2 linked regions of the Tribolium castaneum genome follow. The protein of the gene in region 2 interacts with the protein of the main gene of each other region in a biochemical or structural test. Links are inferred from orthologs where the notes say so. Each region holds a gene or a part of one and is shown on either strand. Other genes may lie near its edges.

Region 1 (2,684 bases), on a different chromosome or scaffold from region 2:
TGTGATCCAGACGTAAAAGCTGAAACTATGGTAAAAAATAGGAAAGCGACTAAGAAAACTAGGCGTAACAATCTGAGTTAAAAAGTTACACACAGTAGACTACTATTGTACGAGTGCATAAAAATCGATTTCATGTTTAAAACTACCACTTCAGACTAATGAATAATGAAGCTTTAAAGACTAAGGAAAAGGCTGACGACGCTGACACTGCTTGCATTAGAAATTGCTTTTCCCCTGAGAGCTATTTTTTAGCTTACTTTATTCTTTTTCCGAACGACTTGCACAGCATTATCAAAAACGGGCGCATTAGCGTATCCTTCCGAAATTTTTTAACTTTATATTTTTCAAAAAAAAAGTATTTTTAGTTACGAATATTTTTCTCAGCCCTATCAAAGGTTGTTTCACATGGTTTGCATGGCTGCACATGTTTTATGTGACTCAAAGATCGGTTATTGTTACTACTTATTATCTCATCATCACGATAAGATTTTTATTGCGATAAAAATCATTACTCCTTTAGGTACATTTTCCCCTATAGTGTAGGCAACCGTTGATTCTCGTGTAAACTCAACGTAATTGTAAGAGATGGCGCTTTAAAAGTGTGCACCGAGCGCCACACCTCTTCGGTGTTTTACCGAATCGAAGGGCTAGGGTTTGAAATAAACTTCAGTTTTAGAAAGTTAAACAAAATTTATTGCGTATTTTACATTAAGCGAAGCAGAAATAATCGAACATATAAACTACAAGTAGTTGAATAGTCATTAAATAAATAGTGCCCATTATTACAATGTACAAGGACAAATTTATCATCTAACATAACAACTATAACGACTTATGACAACTTAAGCTAAAACCCATAAGCAAACGAATTCCACAAATTGAACACACGTAAATTAATCTTACAAGAGGTGGGTTTTTTACACTAAATATTAGATAACAAAATGTGGAAAGTAATGTACATAAAACCTGCACTAGTTTCAAAACGGTTATAGCAAAGTGGGTATTAGAAGAAATATGTTTATCACAATTTATTAGTTGGGCTGACCTGCAACGTAACACATTCGACCTTACCTTTTGTGTATCACTGTGAGGTAATAAATTATTGGACTACAGTAGTTTTTTGATTAAGTTTATTCGCAACGAAACGAAAAATCCATTAAACACAGCAATATGTAAGTATATATCATAAAACAATGCCATTTCGAAGCAGTTGATCAAAAAAGTAAACTCAAAGTAAAGTCTCAAAACAAAATCTTGTCACACAAACTAAACGAACAAAAGTTTTAAATGAACAATAATGTATAGGATATGTATATATTAACTTTACATGCTAATTAATCATCGAAAAATAATCGAACTGAAGGCTCAACATACTAGAGAAATGGTAACATTAATACCCAAATTTCCGTTGTCAGCAAAGTGTTGGGCTATAGAATTATCAAACGCTAAACAATCGGAGGCCATAATGGCCGAAGCGACCCCCTCATGGCTGGACCTCGGCATGGCTTCCCAGATCAGACGTCGCCTGTTTCCGTTAAGCTCCAGTCTAAATAAAAAAACACTGTGAATACTAAAGAACAAAACGCTGGGACTGACCTATAGGCGAAATGTTCGGCCTGTTTGCGCGAGCCGATCAACTGAACGATTGCAAAGAATTGGGTATGACCATCATTCTTCTCTTGTTTTTCCAACACTAGCATAAAATGATGACCGAAACAACTCTGCATCATCACCCAATCGACAGCACCGGCCAAGTTGATCTCAGTGGCCAGGAAAACGATGTCCTCGCCGTTGAGCGTTGTTATGTTTTTATGGGAATGTTGCAGATGTACCATTACTTTATCTAACTGACCCTGCGCCCCAAACATTTTTTTACTACGCACTGCCACGTGCACCCACACCGAGGCAAAAGTCACTCTTAAAAAGGTGCACACCTTGTTAATGTCACGAATGTGTCTAGTTGACGAGTAATCCAAAATTACGTCAGTTCCGAGATTATTATTACCACTGATAAGTATAAATATATTTTATTTAAGTTAATTTGACTAAAACCTTGCACATGATGCTATGAACGCTCCGGAACTCCTAAAGCCCTTAGCGCCGATTTATCCACCAGTTTATATGAAAACGCTTGTTTTCGGCAATTTCTTGCTAAAAAACGCGAAAATTGATCGTGAAAGACTGAAATCAGCTTATTTTGACCGAAAACGCTTATATGAATTGGTCTTAGACGATCCCGTGCTAAAAAACCCAAAACTCACTGAAGATTTTAAAGAATTTTAGAGCCGACTGCGAAAAAATGTAATATATACATAATATTATTGAACCTCCTTACCGTCTATATCAGTTTTTTAATGTAAAACACTGAAATTCATTAAAAAATCAAAACTTGTAGTTTGACAATACCGTGTATTATTTCCTAGGAAATCGAAACTATAATTATTAATTAGATTTCAAAAATAATTCATTTTATTGTTGATCAAATTCTATGCGATCAGGATTGTTCGACAATGACTAACACGTATCATTTATTTAAAATTCCATATTTATATCAATAACTTCAATATCTACATAGATTTTTTTTCTATATGTAAGCATTTCTATCTACATACCAATTCTTATTATCTCATACTGCTATTATTGGAATCATAAAAAAATAAATAATAAAAAGTACAAGTGCAAAT
Region 2 (4,600 bases):
GCAAAAATGCTTAAAGGTCGAAAACTGTCGTTATGCAACGAGCGTAGGCGAGTGTTTTTGCACTCGTATCATTAATAACTATTTTCGCAGTCTTCAACAATTCTAAGGGCAAAAGTAAGTTTGTATCTTGCTATTTTATGTATTTTTATTTGAATTTCGTTACACTGACAGCGAGCATACCATATAACTACAAATAAATATTTTGCCAATTTTTAGTTATTGGACGCCTATTTGGCTTAGGACAATTTTTGAACTTATATGCTCATTCTATTGTGCTTTTTTTTCTTTTTGCTAACATATTTATTAAATGGGGGTGTACAAATGACCAAGAAAATAGCATTGTCTTATAAAATGAAAAAACTCCGAAAATCATAGTACTTCAGAATGAAAGAATAAAATAAAGCCACTAATAATACAGAGACCAACAACAATATACAACAAAAAAAATCTACTTAATTGCCGATACACAATTACTTAGCCTATCCCAAAGCTTCTGAAAGAATAGAAAAGATACAAAAGGCAAGGGCACCATTTGCCATCTCATCAAAAATATATCGCGCGATAATAGAAAATAAGAAAGTCTAATAAGAAAAACACGAATTGAAAAAGAAACAGAAAGAGAAAATTTAAGAAAACCAAACAAGAGTAATCTATAATTATTTGCTTGTCTTGCCTAAAAGAAATACATGTGTGAATGAACAACCCTTATGTTCCCAGAAATCACAAGGAACATACTCGTATTACCGATGATAAAAAACAAAACTTGTGCATATGGTATCTCTGTTATAGGGATGACAATAGTGAATATTAACTGGATAAGTTAATATATAAAGATGAGGAAGAAACAGAAACAGAAAAATAAAACTAACGAAAAAGAAGAGAAAAAAGTGATAAAGAACCCAAATACAAAGTGAAAAAAATGATGAAAAACAAATTGTGTGTTCATGATCGAGATGATTTATATCACGTGAATAATTAATTAAGCATTACATTAGATTTTAAACTTTGTTGAAAATTTAATAGGAATTAATTTTAATTTCACTTCTATTTTGGTCATGCAAATACCTGTCCAATAACGGTGGTTCCGGCGTCCAGTAATTATAATTTTTGCACTCAATAAATAAAAACGGTGAGGAAAAATTTATACGCACTTTCGAAACTTTTCTACACATTTTAATCTTTAGTTTGGAATTACGTATTTTTTATATCTTTATTTTAAAGGCGGTAATGAATTTTACAGTTAAGATTTTTTCAATACCAGGGGACTTTACCCAATTATTAAAAAAATTAAATTTTTTTGGTTTTATTTTTGAACCATATAACTATTATGCAACCAACTTTACAGATGTAAACAACAATTTTTGTACCATTTTTATAAAAATTCAACAAAAACAGTAGTACATTAAAGACAATTTTGTGTCTAAAGTAGTCCGTAAAATAGCACTTTTTGGACGATTTCACAGAAATTGATTGCGCTTTAGTTTGAATTTGGGAATTTATGCTTCACTGTTGCCACCACTGCGAGGTCAGTGACGTGCGGCGTTGCCGTGTGTGTTTCAAAAGCACAAACTTTATGTTTTGGTGGCGTCATTTACCGAATTTTCCGTGAAAAACTGTAATATTGCCTGAACAATATTACCACGATGAGTTTTTCCAGCGACGAAGTGAATTTCCTTGTTTATCGGTACTTGCAAGAGTCGGGTGAGTAGGCTGTGGCCGACATAACCACATTTCTTGGCTTGATTGTTGTCATTTTGCAGGTTTTCAACATTCTGCTTATACTTTCGGTATTGAGTCGCATATTTCCCGATCAAACATCAATGGGGCTCTTGTACCGCCCGCCGCACTTCTCAGTATTTTACAGAAAGGTTTGCAATACACTGAAGCTGAAATCAGTATAGGAGAGGATGGACTGGAACAGAGATTAGTGGAGAGCTTAAGTTTAATCGATGCTGTGATGCCTGATGTGGTGGCGAGTCGCCAAAATCAGCAGAATGCACAAAAACAGCCGATCAAATCGGAAATTACTGATACAAATGGCGAAGAAGGTAGTTACTAATTATTGTTATACCACAACTTTTCTAACTTAAATTGTAGCTGTAGTGTCAACACAGAATGAAAACATGGAAGTAGACACATCTATCGAGATTCCAACTTCCAAAGCTACAGTTTTGAGGGGGCATGAGTCAGAGGTTTTCATTTGTGCGTGGAATCCCACTACTGATTTGTTAGCAAGTGGCTCTGGGGACAGCACAGCCAGAATTTGGGACATGTCTGATAACACAGCAAGCCCCAATCAATTAGTACTGAGGCACTGCATCCAGAAGGGGGGCACTGAAGTGCCAAGCAACAAGGATGTTACTTCACTAGACTGGAATGTATGTGCTTTGTTTTCCTTCTTATGGCCAAAATATGCAAGTTTTTTTATTGATCTTTCGTTCCTTAAAAAAACTCAAAAATTCCCGACTTTCGTAAAACTGCGTTTTTACTTTAAACACCACTTAAGGCCCGATTTCTCGCGAAATTTTCAAATGACTTTTGCGAAAACTTTTCCTAGACCATTTTAAACGCCAGTATCGTGTTTAGCGCGTGATTTTGCGTCATTTGAAACATTTTTGCGATCCAAAGTTCCTCAAACTTAATCCAAGGGCGCTTTATGCATTTTTCTAGGTCTTTAGAACCCTCTACATTTCTTAAAAGTGCAAAAAGTTAATAGATTCGATTTTAAGTTGTTTGATTTTTTTCTATTTTTGTCAAGATTTTTGGTCGATTTCTGGTACCCAGAACATTTATTATTTATTTATATTTATTTATTAGTTTATTACCATTGGAAATCTTTTGTGTTCTCTATCTTTTTGAAAAAATTGTTGTCATAGGCTAATAGTTTTTGAAAATACGGAAATATTGATAATAATTAATCGATTCCCCGAATCATTTTACATAGGTCATTAATTTACTTAATTTTTAAATATATTTTTTATATTTCTGCCTTAATTGAGAAAACAAAAATAAGTTTGCAAAGTGATTACGTTTCTGGATGAAAATGTGTTAATTTTATTCCAAAAATGTGTTTAAACATTCAAACATTGCTCCACACAGTATTATTTTGCATAATCTTTTACGAAATTTTCCGAAATAATGGCATTTCATCTCAAAAGTATAGTTAAATGTTTGGTTTACCGAAATTACGCGGAACTAAGTTTTTTTTACACACACCGTTTTATAATTTGTTGGCTTATTTTCGAGAAATTTCTTGATATAATTGCGTTTTTGATGCGATAAAACGCTCAAAAAGACAAACACTCAACTTATTGCTTTATTTTCAAAATATTTATTTTCCTAAAATAGGAAACAAGGTTTTGATTTTACATTAAAAACAGATCATTCGCTAAAATGCACAAAAAATCAATTTGGTTTAATCGTCAAAAACAAATCTTAAAAATGTTTCGTTAAACAAAACTTTTGGTTGCTTATTTTATTTAATGAACCCCTTTTGCCTTTACATTGGTAAATTAATTAATTTATAAATTGATTTACATTTCATGTGGTAAAAAAATATCTATGTTGTATTTATTGAAGTTGTTCTACAGAAAAAACACATAAACATCGTGTAGTTTCTTAGCGTTCATTCCCTAGTGCAAACTAATAAAATTTCACAGGAGTAAGTCACACTTCAAACGGGCAAAATTGTTTAAACAGCGACTTGCACTAGTGAATTACGCCAAATTACACTAGGAAGTGGACGAAAAGAAACTCCTGTACCTATTAAAATATTGTTATTACATTTTTTTAAATTGCATAATTAACTTTCTTATGTAATGATAAAATTTCTTTTCCACACAAAAACTTTTCGTGCTTTGTCTCACAATGATTGTTGGTAATTTTGAATTTACTTCTCATATTTACATTCCAACAAAATCAACGGCTTATGTTTTGAACTTGAAAACTGTTATAAATTTTACAATTTGCTCGACGCTAATCGATTCCTTGGATCAGTTTGCATACTTTTCCATCAAAATAGTTCAATTATTTCAAATAATATTGCCGTACTTAATTCAGGAAATAATATTAAAGTTCACAAAGTGAATGCATATCTGCTGGATGAAAAATGTGGTATTTTATCTCAAAAATCTGCTTAAACCAAGGCTTGACCTTCAAAAAGTGCTTCATTTTTAATACAATTCTGCGTTTTTTTGATATTTTTTAACAATATTTTACGAAATTTTCATGTAAAAAATGTGTTCAAACGACCAGTTCAGCGAAATTTTGTGAAAAACTAAGTTTTGAGTTTAAAAACGTGCCCTTACACTGTAGACAAGCAATAACCGCACCATTTGTTTTTTTTCGGCTTATTTTTAAGAAATATTTGCGTTTCCAAAAACGCCCGGAAAAGGCAACTATTTATTCAAAGCTAGTTTCATTTCATTAATGCACGGAAAATACTGTTATCAGTTGTTTATTGACCTTAGAATAAGTAAAAAAATAACAATAAAAGTCAGCTTTTTTTGTATTGCACAAATCACTGTGTGATTTCAGTGCGACGGCAGTTTATTGGCAACAGGAAGCTACGACGGCTACGCCAGGATATGGACCACTGACG

Evidence for each region.
Region 1: the proteins of ebi (region 2) and sina form a complex in vitro, tested with the Drosophila melanogaster proteins (2 studies listed by BioGRID). The link is inferred for Tribolium castaneum from reciprocal best matches to the Drosophila melanogaster genes ebi and sina.

Annotation. Positions count from the first base shown.
Region 1 is NC_087403.1:8,291,947-8,294,630, forward strand, and holds the end of sina (E3 ubiquitin-protein ligase Siah1), read right to left. Parts: intron 1,854-2,684; coding exon 1,597-1,853; intron 1,547-1,596; coding exon 1,366-1,546; 3' UTR 671-1,365; downstream 1-670. UniProt on the Drosophila melanogaster protein: E3 ubiquitin-protein ligase that is required for specification of R7 photoreceptor cell fate in the eye by mediating the ubiquitination and subsequent proteasomal degradation of Tramtrack (ttk).
Region 2 is NC_087398.1:13,091,367-13,095,966, reverse strand, and holds the start of ebi (F-box-like/WD repeat-containing protein TBL1XR1), read left to right. Parts: upstream 1-1,520; 5' UTR 1,521-1,643; coding exon 1,644-1,701; intron 1,702-1,760; coding exon 1,761-2,048; intron 2,049-2,097; coding exon 2,098-2,378; intron 2,379-4,536; coding exon 4,537-4,600.